Alligator mississippiensis: one gene and its partner. The protein of the gene in region 2 purifies or fractionates together with the protein of the main gene of each other region. This does not show direct contact. Links are inferred from orthologs where the notes say so. Each region holds a gene or a part of one and is shown on either strand. Other genes may lie near its edges.

Evidence for each region. Proteins that work in one complex are often made in the same cells at the same time.
Region 1: the proteins of core histone macro-H2A.1 (region 2) and EZH2 purify together in Homo sapiens (affinity purification with mass spectrometry; 3 studies listed by BioGRID and IntAct, with this or other methods). This does not show direct contact. The link is inferred for Alligator mississippiensis from reciprocal best matches to the Homo sapiens genes MACROH2A1 and EZH2.

Annotation. Positions count from the first base shown.
Region 1 is NC_081828.1:117,667,124-117,674,391, reverse strand, and holds the start of EZH2 (histone-lysine N-methyltransferase EZH2), read right to left. Parts: upstream 3,107-7,268; 5' UTR 3,003-3,106; intron 2,961-3,002; exon of another isoform or gene 2,941-2,960; intron 1,969-2,940; exon of another isoform or gene 1,963-1,968; 5' UTR 1,935-1,962; coding exon 1,897-1,934; intron 1-1,896. UniProt on the Homo sapiens protein: Polycomb group (PcG) protein. Catalytic subunit of the PRC2/EED-EZH2 complex, which methylates 'Lys-9' (H3K9me) and 'Lys-27' (H3K27me) of histone H3, leading to transcriptional repression of the affected target gene.
Region 2 is NC_081832.1:70,965,798-70,973,265, forward strand, and holds the start of core histone macro-H2A.1, read right to left. Parts: upstream 3,026-7,468; 5' UTR 2,933-3,025; intron 1-2,932. UniProt on the Homo sapiens protein: Variant histone H2A which replaces conventional H2A in a subset of nucleosomes where it represses transcription. Nucleosomes wrap and compact DNA into chromatin, limiting DNA accessibility to the cellular machineries which require DNA as a template.

The sequences.
Region 1 (7,268 bases), on a different chromosome or scaffold from region 2:
AGCTACAGAGCCCGGGCTGCTTGTAGCAAGTGGCCAGGAAGCTGCAAGCCCTGCTGGAGTCAGCCCAGGCTTAGTGGTAGGCAGCAGCTGCCCACAGCCTGGGCTAACTGCAGCCAGGATGCTGTAAACTAGAGTGCTGGGGTTATGGAGCCCCATGCAGCTAACATGGGTAGGACAGCTGTGCAAGCACCTCTAGGTGAATGGCTGGGAAGGGGCTTGGGGCAACACAGGCCTGGCCCTCCCTTGCCATCTGCCCAGAGGCATGTGTTCAACCACCACTGCTAAGGCTGCGGAGCCTAGCGCAACTGCCTGCAGCTGCCCCACCATCTGCTGCAGCTGTCTGGAGTCCAGGCTGGCAATGGCAGGCAGCTGGGAGGCAACAAACAGCTGCTCTGTGATCTGCAGCCCCACCATTGGCTCAGTGGTGGCAGCAGCAGCTCTGCACACACCTCTGGGCAGACAGCAGGGGAGGGGCTGGGGTTGTGCAGTCTAGACCCCTTCCCAGCTGCATGCCCAGAGGTGTACATGCAGCCATCGCCACCAGACACAGTGGCGCAGAGCCCAATACCACAATTTTCAGCCTTCCGACTGCCTGACAGCTAGCCCAGGCTCTGGGCAGCTACAGCAGGTGGCAAGCAGGCCGCAATCAGAGCCCCAGCACCAGCTCTGTGCCACTGGTGGGGGCACACATGCCTCACATTGCATGGCAGGGAAGGAGCCGGGGCAGCGCAACCCCAGCACCTCCCACGCTGTCCACCCAGAGGCGCATGTGCAGCTACCACCAGCAATGAGGATCAGACCACTCATGGGTCCCACGCCTCTGGCATGCCAAGTCAAGGTGTGGGTGGAGGTTCGGGTGTTTTCTGGAACCTCTGGCCAAAAACGTTGCTGACCCCTGCTTAGACAATGTCCAAGAGCTCATGACAGTCAAGACAGTGCTTTCTAATTTACAGTACAGAGAAGTTACTGCATACATTGGCTGTCCACACACACTTTCTACCGCAAATGTACTCTTAATGTACATTAAGAACATCCCTACAAGCATTTATTGCAGAGTACCTAGGTTACTGCAAATTCATCCCTTAGCTTACTAAGTAGCAGCTTCCCCAAATATAGAAACATTAGCACAAGCACAAGGATATACTTTCTACATTATAGCCTTGTTAGTGCTGGATCCAGTTATACGAGCAAACTGGATTCTAGGCTGATACACAAACCTTCAACAAAATTGCTACCTAAATTCCATTTAAGAGTCTTTAGTAATTCTAATGAGAGGCAAAGTTACTCCGATTTCGATCTCAGTCTACAGCCCATTAAGAAAACAATTTGTAAACTGAGCAAATTTAATCTACAAGTCATTGCCACAGCAGGCAGTCCCAAAGTGTCTGTCACATTTCAGAATACAACTATATTTTAAAATCTGTATAAAGAAACCAAACCTTGCATATATCCTATTATGCTAAATTAGGATCCTGAAATGCATCAGAAAATGTAGCTGTTGATACCTCATGCTAAGTTTTAAAGAATGCTTTTAAAAGAAACCTCTGCCAATACCCCATAACTATTGGGGGGGATATTTTCACAAACTATCTTTTCATAATCCTCTCCACAGCAACCAAACAGTAGGTGGTCTTTTTGGGCAGGAAGCAAACAAACACAATAAATAAATAAATAAATAAATAAATAAATAAATCTGACTCAGTTTAACATTCAGTCTTGCACAAATACAGAATGTTTAAACCAAAAGTTCTACGTTTGTCCGCATCAAACTACTTCAGAAAAAAAAAAAGCATGAGATATACTGTCCGTATCACCGATCTTCATAAGGTCCTAAGTATTCAAATCATGACAGACCAAATGGCAGGTACTTTTAGAACACTGCGTACATGTACTCACCCTTCACAACATGCTTTCTGGTTACCACAAATAAACATCCCAGGAGCTCCCAGCTGGATATGGACACTTGGGACAAAGAAAAAGAGCAGCTTTTAATGAACTGTTACAAGTGACAGGCAAGTTCCAGGAAAGTCCTAAACCCTGGGAACAGAAGAAAACCCCCGATTCGGAAATCAAATGAGAACTCGCCGCACAGGTTTAGGTCTCAAAACTTACGGCCAATCCCCACAGCACCCCCCATACAAATCCTTTTCTGCGAAAGACGACAATTGTAACTTGGGGTCATCAAAAAAGGATTCCTGCTCCCCTGTTTCCCTTGGGAGAGGGGAGAAAAACAAAAAGCTAAACTCCAGCTTCCTAGTGGCAGGGGGTTGTGGGGCTGGGGCACCAACCGGCTGCATAGCAGAGCCCCCAGAACAAAAGCCTCCAGCCCTTCCCCTGACAAGCTGACACTGCCAGTCCGCCTGCCCGCCCACCCCACTAAGTCTTTCCAGTCAGAACCAGGCGCCCGTGAATCAGCCCTCCACCTCCGCCACCTTCCCTGGGCATGAATCATTTGCCCCAAGTTGGGGGATGCTCCCCAACCCCTTTGCTGACACCTATGGCGGAGACTCAGAAAAGGAAAATAGAGCAAACAGAGGGCTGGGAACAGCCCATGCTCGGCTCAGCCTCGACAGCTTTCCCGCCATGGCCAAGGGGCCGGGCTCACAGCAGGTCCCCGCCGGCTCCCGAGCCGGTCGCACGCGGCCGCATTTGCCCCGCACTTCCCCCAGAGGCGCTGGCAGGGGGCGGGGGAGGCGGCGCGTGCATCACAATAGCGACCGGAGCTGGCGGGCGGGCAGGCGGGGGGAGGGGAAGCAGCGACCACGGGGGCCGCCTGGGCTAAGCGGCGGCTTCCGGCTGCGGGCAGCGCACGAGGCTGCCGCGGCCCCGCCGAGCCCGGAGGCGGGGTGCTCCCCGGGGGCCCCTTCGGACGGGATCCCGAGCCCCCACCCCGTGCCCGCGGGAGACAAAGGGCGCTGTCACCCGGGGGGCGGCCTCCACCTCCACAAAGGGGGCGCCGGTTATAAAGAGCCCCCAGCTCCGCTGACGTGCAGCCTCCTCACCCGCCGCCGGCTCCCGCGAACGCCCGCCGCTGCCTCCGGCCGCCGGATTCACCCTCCCGGGCGGACCGAGCGCCAAAGCCCGGCGGCCCAATCCGCGTCGCGCTCATTGGCGACCACCAAGCGCCGCCCCGATTGGCCGGCCGCGGCGAGAGGAGGACGGTGCGCAGGAGCCAATCCGCGGCGGCGGCGGGCGGGGTCAGCGCTCCCCACGTGCGGGAGGGAGGGGGGCGGGGGAGCCCTTTGTTCTCGCGCTCAGCGCGGGGAGGGGGAGTTTCAAGCCTCCCCCCTACACCGGCCCCGCTCCACGCCGGCCGTGGGCGCGCGCGGGGGGGAGGAGAGGGGTTGGGGCGCGGGGGGGACCTTGAAACTGTCATTTGCGTCACGGAGGGAAGGGGCTGCCCTTGCTCGGCGCTGCCGAGTTTGAATCAGTTCGAAAGTGGGAGCCGTAACGGTTCTAACCGTCGCGCCTCAGCGGCGCGCGCGGGAGGGGCACAAGCGGGGGGCGGGCTTGGCTGGGCTGCCTGTGTGCCCCCGGCGCCTCCTGCCAACCTGTTGCGACCCGAGCGGCTCCACTGCCGCAGTCCCTGCTGCTGCCCTTTCCCCACGGGCTCAGCCCCGGCTCGCTGGAAGCCCCGCCCCGGCTGACACCTGCCGGGAGCCGGCCTCGGGGACGAGTCTCAAGCCCAGTTCAAAACTGTCCCTAGCGCAGAGCGGGGCCGGGAGCAGCCTGGGCTCCTCGCCCCTCCCTTTCCCAAAGACCCTTCGCATCCTCGGTAGTGTTTTTCTCCACATCCAAGCTGACAGTGCAGCCCCGGACGGTCGCGAAATTCCCAACAGGCCCCTTGTTTGCTAATAAAGATGTTGACAAACCCTCAAGCAGCTTGCTGCACTTAACAGGATGCCACGTTTCGCAAAACAGCTTTTATCCAGGGCTTTTAGTAATGCCCCATCTTGCAGCATTACCCAAAACCTAATGCCACTGACATCAGCCTTCCTCTCAGGCCTCTAATTTGTGGGCTGCTGTCTATTCGGTCTTGGCCACACTGTCAAGTGGAGGCCATGCTTAAAGTTTTCCTGTTGCTTTCTCTACAGCATCCCCACAAAAAAAGGCTGTCCTGTCTGTCTACGCGGCCTTCTCACTCAGGCTGTCATCATCCCACACTCTTGCTTACTACCTAAGCCTTTTCCTTGGCCTTCTAAGGAAAAAGGGTTTTTTTTCCCACTCATGCCAGTTCAAAACTAGGGTAAATATGATTTTACCAGCTCAGCATTTTGGCCATGTCACCTTTTTTACATCCCTCTACCAGCTCAACTTTATTAGCTGGACCACGCAAAAGCCACTTGTCTGCATTTTCATGGTTATTCATAGCCCATCCCCATATTACCTGTTAGCTCTTTGTCATTGTCAGACCTCAGCTCCCAAGACTCATTGGCCTGGTTTCATTGGCAGAGTTTCCTGTTAAATTTCATGTTACATTCTCAATCAGAAATGTGCATGCTTTCTCCTAGGCTGTAACTCAGACTTATAAGAGGCTCCTCTAAGTTCTTCAAGTCTTTTCTGAAAACTGTCTTTGGCCATTATACCTAAAAATATCATTTAGGCAAATAAGCATGCAGAAATCACTGCCTATTGCTGACTGGGGTCATTTCCTTGTACTTTTGCATCTGTTTCTCTATCTGTATTTACCTGTTGTCTCATCTTATATTGGAAGTTCTTTGGTGTCAGAGAACCAGGTGTCTGTGTTGTCTTTGTACCACAATTAGCACAAGGGATCCCGAATATGATCGAGGCTCATTGGTCCTGCCATAACGTATTTATCTGTAAAAACAACAGCCACATTCAAACAACCATGAGTTACCCCTCTCCCAAATAATTACATCAGTGAAACACCATTTTTTCAATAATACATTCTGGGTGTTTTTTGTTTTCCCATTACTGAGTCTTTAGGGTTCACTTCAAATTTGCAACCTTTCCCCAGCAACTATAAAGACTAGAAATGTATTTGTCTCTTAATTCTAGCAACCTGTGTTTCAACAAAAATCTAAAATATCACAAAACTTAAAGAAAATCTTCTGACCTGATAGAACTATAGCTCTGTCTCCTTTGTTTTCTGATCCTTACATTGAGTCAATGTTAATAGTTCATTTTTATTGTAACATCTTCCTTTGCAAATAAAGAAACATAGCAGTTACAAATTCTCCTATCCCTTTCTTAATTCCAGCAGAAAAAAAATGATAATTTCAAAAGATTCCCGTTTGTGATTGTATTTACCAAAATTGGCACATTTCTAAAATGGGATCTATTGATCAATTCTGGATATAAAGCTATTTAAAACTACCCCAAAATGGCTGCCAAATTTAAGATGGCCACCCAGTTCTTTGCTATTTAGAATTTGAGACCATTAGTTTGTTTTCAGTGAGGAAGCATAAAATGGTCCTAACAAATAATGTTAAAAATAACTTATTGTAATTGGTTTAGTTAATTTTATTACTGAGAAATTAATATTAAACTGTTAACAGATCCTCATCTCAGATGTCTGCACTTCAGTGGAAAGTTGTTTGTGCCCGGAACTGTGGGCATGTCTACACGTACAATTAATGCGACTGAATAAACTCTGGTGCAATGTGAGCCAGAGCAAACTAATACTGACGACACTGTCTACACATGCAGTTAAGCGCAGTAATTTACTCCACTGTTGGATAGTATCTCTGTCTGACGACTATCCAGCGGCTCTGTAAATTAGTCTACACTGGCCCAATTGCCGTGCATATGTAAACAATGACAGTTTACTGCACAGTAAAGCATATATGTAGATGTATCCTGTTTGGAGTTAACTAGTTCCAATTAGGAAATCAAAGATCAAACGCTCTGAAAGGACTGGGTTTTTTTGGTGGGAGTGGGGGTTGTGTACTTTTTTAAAAAGAAATACTCTTTCCATTTTAGTTGAATTGTGTTGCCTTGATGTGTAAATCTAATCAGAAAATAACTCTTAAAAAGCAGACTGTCTGATCATCAGTCTCCTGCAAACAGCCTGAGTGTTGGCAGTTGTTTTTTCTGCTCCAAGGTGTTTAAAGTTGCAAAGAGCTGCTTGTAGACTTTCCATTCTCACTGAGCAAAACCTCCCAAGTGGCTTTCTGTTTCTGACTTATTTTCATAATGGAAGAAGGTCTTTTTAACTAAATGTTCTTCTCCAAGAAAGGAAAAGAAGATGTCAGATACAAAAGATATAATTCATAATTTATAGAATATCATTTGAATGATTAAATTGATATTTTGCAAAGTTATTTCATGCATTTTAGTATATTTCTTGATGAAACCATCTAAATTAAAGCATTTGAAAATCATGTTAATGTTCAAAATGTTTAAATTATATAACAATGGAAACAAAATCCAAATCAGAAAAAAAATCTGATTTGGATAGTATACATTTCTTTAGATTATTCTAAACATTTTTATTTCTTTATTCATCATTTTTCTGGTTTGGTCCTGTTCCCTTTGACAAAATCATATGAATTTTCATAGAAGCAGGATTGGGTCCAACCCACCAGTGAAACATGCCTGTTTTTTGATGCATGAATCAAGTATTACATAAAGAATTTACAGAGTATTGAATTGTTATATGCTATGAGTCAGACATCTCAGCACTGCATTTGGCCTTAAAAACATTTTAAAATGCCAGAAGTGCAAGCAATTCTGATCATTTATATAGGGGCAAACTAATAGCATGTCTTTATTTATTCTTAAATTACAGGCATCTCGTGGAGAAAGGGATACAATAGTGTAAAGCAAAATTAAACACTGGTAGGCTCAAAGTAGAACTTTTTTTTTAAACGTGAAGAAAGTTTTTTTTAACAAATATGGGCTTCTGATCGTGTCTCTAATAATTTCACTACCAATTTCTGCAGTAAAGGGCCTCTGATAGTATCCCTGTCTGGAGGAGCCAGGCAGAATCAGTGGAGGAATCCCTTTAGTTTGAAAGATTCCACTTTTTTTAAGGCAGGCCTAGAACACTTGTTGATTGGATGCCATACAGTGCTTCCTGCTTGGCTAGGAGTGAGTACAGTACATGTGAGCCAACTCCACCCCTATTGCCTGACATCAGGATTATTGGTAGCTGATGCTATGGCTCTTACAAGGAAGTACAAAAATGTTTAAATTTCTGCCTTGTCAGCTATTTCACAGCTGTCCTCTCTACTTTGAGATATGGCTGCAGCTAGTGACAAAGCAGAGGTTTTTTGGGGGTGTGGGTCTGTAATGTGGCATAA
Region 2 (7,468 bases):
ATGACATCAACAAACATAAAAATTAGAGAGAAATGGCTTTAAATCACTGAAGCATTTAATCAGAGACTACAAAATAATAATAAAAAAATGTGTTACCCTGAAAGAATGATTCAAAAATTGCTCCACAATGTTTGACATTTTGGAAGCAGGCAAAAAATACAGTAAAGAGGCAATGTGGATGCTTCCAAGGTGAAATCAAGCTGAAGAATGAAACCTCAAATAAACATCACTGCTGACTGGCTGTGTTCAGGTGCACAAACGAGAAAACAGAAGATACAAAACCTGCCTGGCGCAGAGGCCAGGCAAAATGTGATTCTTACTATACTCCTTTCCCAGTTGAAATGCAAGAACTCTGGACTTCACTCTCTCCAAAGTGGGAATGGGAAAGATGGTGTATAACCAGGGACTCACACCTATCATCTGCCAAAGTGGGCTGGGCAAAAGAAGGGGAACAAGTTTTCCTTCCCCCAAGTGGCACAGTAGCCAAGCACAGGACAATGGACCTCTGACTCCAAAAAGGGCTTTTAGGCAGTAGCACAAAAACCAGCCTCAACTGCTAATTTTGAGAGAGAAATTTAAATCTAAACTCTGATTCTGAAATGGCAGTTTTCTACCTGTGCTGCAGAGAGAAAGCTTGGTACAGAAGTCCCATGTCCAAAGGAATTTGTCCAAAGGACTACGATAATTTTAAGGAGCCCGATATGAACATTTTGGGTTTGATTTCCTTTCTTAACTTTGATCGTTACAACCCAAAGCTTAACTTCTGCTAACCCAAAGCTAAAATGAGGAACTCTTTCAAGATCTTCCACTGCTTATGTCCCTAGATCAGATACGCTCTCAGTTACATTACAGTAAACAGGCAGCTGCATTTGGTCCAGAATGTACAATCTGCATTTGGCTTTACTGGCAAAACAGAAGTATACATAATTTATATCTAAATAAAGACACGTTATAGGAACTCAAGTGGCCTTAACTGCACCCTAGCACAACAAACAAACTTGGAATTAAAATTTAGCTCTAAACTGCAGACACTTCCTTTTTTTAACTCTTTAAACAAACAAATATCAGGTATGGTTTAAGGACCACTCAGTCCAACCCATCTGTGAACAACGGCATTTCAAATAGCAGAAACATGACAGTCGGAGAAATAGTAATCCTCTTGTTTATGCCTGTCTCCAGGATGGTTACCAGAACCCAGGTGCTGCTTCCCTAATGAGATTCTCCTGCTCTTGGGCTGGTTTATTCCTAGGAAACCCTTAGGAAGGAGGAGGTGCTCCCTCTGCAAAGTTCCCTACACACCTGTTGCTAAGTGACAGCCACACTGAATCTCAGGGAATTTGTTCTGAAGGTCAGAGCATGAAATCATCAGCTGTTACACAATTCAACAGCCATCATCTCCTGCCCACCAACACCAATGGGGGTACTTCAGATGTAGACCGGCGTCACTGAACCACATCTCTTCCTATCTGTCCACTTCAGATTCAAATGTCAGCGTGGGGACTCCTGCTTCTAAAGAACACACTGAACTACTCCTTTTCTTACTTCTAAAGATCACGCTGAACCCCTCCGCAAATTATGGGAAGATGCAAAGCATGAAAAGGGGGTACTTGATCCCGCCACTTTCTTCATGTGCCCATCCCCAGTGAAACCCAAGCACTTCTGCTTTGCACGGTTGTCTGAAAAGCCTGCATTAACCTGCAGGCTTGCAGCCCGGGTGTAGCAAGAACACCCACACCCAGGCATGCTCAGCACGGCTTGCACAACCCCTGCAGGCTGGCACCGCGCAGGCTTTAGAAGAAGTGACAGCTTTACCGAAACATGCTCGGCCCCTCTCCCTACAGACAGGTTTGGTCTTCCCCACCGAAAAAGGCTGCAGCCCTCAGTTTGCCACTGACAGGCCACTGGGCAGGGGGCTGGCAGGTGGTCCTGGCTGGCAGGATCTCCTGCTTCCCTTTCCTTTATGCAAGCAGCCAACTCTGGCCCCTGCTCTGTGACGGGAGCGACAATGTCTCCTGCTGCTGCCTCGCAGCCCGGCTCCCTGCGTCGCTCCACATCATCTTCTCCTGGCCAATGACCTGAGGGGGGAAGGAGGGGGGGGAAGTGTGTGTGCGTGTGAGTGTGAGAGACGGGGGAGGGGGGAAGGGTGTGTGTGTGTGTGTGTGACAGGGAGGGGGAAGTGTATGGGGAAGGTGTGTGAGATGGGGGAAGGGGAAAGGGGTGTGTGACAGGAGGACGGGGAAATGTGCGTGTCTGTGTGTGTGTGTGTGATGGGGAGGGGGAAGGGTATGTGGGGGGTGTGCGCATGTGTGTGACAGGGGAAGGGGGAGTGTGTGTGTGTGAGTGTGACAGGGGAAGGGGGAGTGTGTGTGTGTGAGTGTGACAGGGGAAGGGGGAGTGTGTGTGTGTGAGTGTGACAGGGGAAGGGGGAGTGTGTGTGTGTGAGTGTGACAGGGGAAGGGGGAGTGTGTGTGAGTGTGACAGGGAGGGGAAGGGTACGTGTGTGAGAGACAGGGGAAGAGGGAGTGTGTGTGTGAGACAGGGAAGGGTGTGTATGTGTGTGTGTGTGATGGGAAAGGGGGAGTGTGTGTGTGTGTGTGACAGGGAGGGGGAGTGTGTGTGAGTGTGTGAGAGAGAGAGAGAGAGGGGGAGAGTGTGTTTGTGACAGGGAGGGGAAGGGTACGCGTGTGTGAGACGGGAAGAGTGTGTGTGTGTGTGTGTGTGTGTGAGACGGGGAGGGGGAAGGGTGGGTGTGTGTGTGTGTGTGACGGGGAAGGGGGAGTGTGTGTGTGTGTGTCGGGGCCGGCGCTCCCGGACGCACCGCCGCCGCCGCCGCGCGCCCGCTCGACCCCGGCGCTCCCCTCGCCCCGCGGTGTCGGCGGCCCGCGGCCCAGCGCCCCCGCCCGCCCCGCGCCGCGCTGCCCCCCGCACTCACCGCGCGGCGCCGCACCAATATGTCTCCCGCCGCCCGCCGCTCTCCCGGCTCCGCCACTGCCCCCCCGCCACAGGCAGCAGCGCGAGCCCCACAATGCACCGCACCGCCGCGTCACATCCCCTTGCCCCGCCCCGCCCCGCCCCGCCTGTGCGGTCGCGGGCAGGGCACGGGCTGCGGACTGCTCTCAGGGGTGCCGCACCCGGCCGCCTTACACAAGGCGCTGGGGGGCGCGGTGTCCCTCTCAGGCCGGGTTGGGGGTGTGCTCTTTGTTCCCGTCCAGGGCCAGGCTGTCGTAGGGACATGGCTTCAGGCACCTCCCTCCCACCCAAAATGGCCAGGCCAAGCTTTGCAAGCAGTTGCAGGGGGGTTTCAGGGTATCAGCGGGGGGACATGTCCGTGCGGGTCCAGATGACGCTCACCAAACGGCTCCCCCAGTTTTGCTAAGACCTGGCTCCACAGCCTGGACCAGGCCCCACGGTGCCGGGGCCGTCGACTGAGACGGAGCCGTGCCCGCGGGGTGGCTGGGAGGTGGTGGGCGCCCTGTTGGGAGCACGCTCCCCTCGTCCCCTAACGGATATTTGCAGGTGAAGGGGGGCATGGCGATGAAGAGGCACAGGCTGCTTTCCACCTCTCGCTGGATGTTGATTGATTTTGGGGTGCATCCTCCCCACTCCATGATGCCAGGCTGCCCAGAGGGGAGGGGGGCACCTGGGGCAATTTGCCCCCGTCCCTACAAAGCCAGGGACCTCTGCCTCCGCTCCCATGTGCACCGCTGGCCTCCTCGCCACAGCCCTTGGTATTTTGTTTTCATAAAAAGAAGAGGAAATTGGTGTATTCGAGTGCAAGACGACACTGAATCATTCTCAACGTGTCATTATGACATTATGGGACCCGTCCCTGACCATGAAGTAAATATTATTTATTATTATTAACAGAGCGTGTTGCGAGGAGAGAAGGGACAGGGAAGGTTTAAGGAGGGATCGGTGGCAGAGCCGGGCTGTCGTCACAGGAAGACCTCCTGGGGAACGAGTTCAAATCATGAGCGAATGTCAGCTCTTGTGGGCTCTTAAGGGCCAAAGTCAGAAATGAATTTGCAAGAATATAAGAATTAAAATGATGTATGTTGTTTCCTTAGCCAAGGAAAATAACAACATTAGACAAAACACATGTAGGGAGGATTCAAGTTGCCCATGGTGTGTGCTACAAGCTGTGTCTCCAAAAACAGCACGTGTGACCCTGTTAGCTGGTCTCAACTACTGTAGCCCCAATGTTTGCAGAGTTAAAATGACCAGTATTTGTATGAGTCCTGCTAAACCCTTGTCTTCCATAATACCTTGTCTCTATGAGTTCCGCTCATCATTTTTTGGGGGGGCTGAGGGGTGTCTCTGGTATAGCTTAGGACCGAACAGATCCCAGGTTTGGTTGTACTCTTGGATGCTAACATAAAGGAAACACTAATGACACACTCAGTTTTGTGTAGCTAAGACTCCCTGCTAAAGCAAGTGCCACTATCACACACAGCCAGACACTTTTGATACAGTGCTGTTTGCCTTTGATATAATGCTGTTTGCAAGGGCATAGACCATCTGTTGTGGTTTAACAGATACAGCCTAGAATAGAGACTTATTTCTCTTTATCATATTCCACAGTCACCACTTCCCCTCCACCTCTTCCTCTTATCCATGCCATGACCTATTTCACTCGCTTTTTCTCCCCTACCGTCTTACCCACACAGCATCTCCTCCTTCCTTCATGCAGTGTACAGAACACAGAACAGCACTCACCCTCGCAGCCCGTCTCCCTGCCCATGCCAACCTGTTGCTGTCACCCACATGATTTTAGTTTAAAAAAATTGTGCAACAATCTTTATTGGCATGACTACTTGTACACTCATTGTCAGTAGTTAAATAAGCCAGAACCTTGACTCTCTGTTGAGAGTTGATGCTTTAGCTATCGCATCATTTTGCTGTAGGAAGTGTGCTCCCAGGGCAGTCACAGAGGTTTAGCTGTGGGGATAGTGCAGATAAGCATCCAAGTTGTTTGGCAGCATCTTAGCTTTCATTTTTCTTTTCTTTGTTTTTTGAAAATTAAGCCTCTTTGGCTGCATCCAGATGTTCAGGGGCCTGCGCTTGCAGCGGCAAAAATAGTAGCCGCACAAACTTTTTGCCGCAGCACATACCCCTGCTTTGGTGAGGGACAGATTGTCCCGCTTCAGGCAAACTGCCCTTGCTGTTTCCTCCCGGCTCCTGGCATGCTGAAAGAGCCGGGGCACAACTTCAGGAGTGAATATGCTCTTTATCAGCAGCCAGAGCATTTCCCTGGAGGACTGAGCTTCCGTGTCTTCTGGTGCATGCTCCTGTTGCGTATGCCACGCTGCTTTTTCTCCCAGTGCTTTTTTTGCTGCTGGGATTTCCTGGTAGCAAATTTTGGCCATGCACTGCAAATTTGCAGTGCGGGTCACGTTCTAACATTCCCTGTGTGCAGTTTGTGGTGCCACAAACACACATGCCTGCATATCTGGATACAGCCTTTTTGTTATGGCTGAGGAGGAAACCTTCAAAATACAACTTGTGCATAACTTGTGCGGTGATACCTGTCTGTGTGCAGAGAGCCTGAAATAATAACTAGTAGTTCAACATTGCCTGTTCATTTCCATGGATGTTGATGCAGAGGTCACTTGTTCTGATTTCAGTCAGCATTAGCTATGTCACTGCTTATCGATGTGTGCAGGTATACTTTGAAGATATACCAAATCCATGATGAGTGATTGCTCATTCTGGACTGCCATTAACACCACATAGTGGGGCACAATTGCTGTCATTTGCCTGAAATGGGCTTTGCTTTCAAACAGTTGGGAAACTCCACAATATCTGCCTAGAATAGGACCTAACAGGACATATTCCCTCTGCATCTAGACTGACTTCTTGTATTTTACTCCAGTTTAGCTCCCTGGTACCATAAACAATCCCATTGCCTTCAGTCATAAACAATCCCATTGCCTTCAGCGGGATTATTTGTGGAATAATGTACTCCTCTATGAATATGGTTTATAAGCATGTAGCTCATTTACACTGTTTGTATAGACTTAGATAAGCACCTGCATTTTAGAATACTTATCTGAATTCTGAACATTTAAGTCTTTTGTTGCCATTGTTATGTGGGCCCTGGAGATTTCAATGTAATTTTATAACCTTGCCTCAGTCTGTTGAAATACGTGCAAATGCATCATCACAATTGAACGTGTAGAGCTCTGCTATTGTCTCTTCTATGTTCTGCTATCATTTACGTGGTCAGAAAGATGCACAAACCCACCCCTCAAACTTACGTACATACTATTTTTCTGATACTCTCTGCCACAGTTCAGGGTTAGCTGCAGCTCTGTCCCCTCTCCTGTCTAAATGAATGTATCCTTCTCAAGTGATAGACCCTTGACTTCATTCATCCAGGTGTGGAATCCTGCAATCTTCCTGACTGCAGAGTGGATCCCAAGGCTACAACATCCCATGAAGTTGCAATGGCTACTCAGCAAGACCCACCGGAGCTCAGCAACTTCAAGTTGTCCTTGGGGTCCTGTGGCCAGTTGTGAATATTCAGAATAGTTTTTGAAAAACAAGATATTGATTCATTGTACCAGTAGGAAGAGCTGGGATGCACATCTACACTCCTAACTTAACTATTGCCCTGAGTAGACCATTATTAAAGAAACCTCATCTCAAGAAGACTGCAGGTTGGTCAACTGCCAGCAGTTCTTGCCTGACTTTGTCATTTTGGGGCTATCTACATATCCATCCAAAGATCTTTCTTTCGTTATTTTCTGCTTTGCTCCCCACTGTGGTTACATGCTGGAACATGTGCACACACATACACACATCCGTGCCCAGGCAGCCCGTTGAGATCAGAGGTTGAAGTTATAACTTCAAAGCCAGCAACATCTGCATTATCCTTTGAATATTGGGTAAAGGGTGGGGAGGGAAGCTGTCAAACTCTTTCCTGTGTATCTGCAACTAACCTTGTCTTGAATTTAACCCTTGTAGAGGTGCAGCAAATGGCATCACATAGCAAACAGAAATAAGACAAACACATGAAACATATTTTCATAAAATGTTAGGAGCAATCTATCACTTGGTCAGCAGAGCACAAACCGCCCCAAGCTCTCAGACCACTTCCTTTTAGTCACTCACTCCCGTACAACCTGATATCCCCACTTCCATAAGAGGAATGCAGCAGATACATCCCTAGAATGGAAGATAGCTTGTTCTCGTTTTAGTCCCTAGGGGTACCGCAGAAATCTCTGGGTGTGCACTCCATGAACCACTGAAATCAATATGAGTTTTCATGTTCAATGTTGATAGGTCTAGGATTTCTCTGTGTACATTTTTTGGTAAAAGCCACCATTATTCTTATCCTACAAGAAGCTTGGGGCCAGAAGAATCCAGGTTATAGGTCAGGATTAAGGGGTGTTGGTAAAGCCGAGTGGGCTTCAACACACACTACTGGCCTACAATGCAGCGTTATGTTCTCTTCTCAATCTATCCT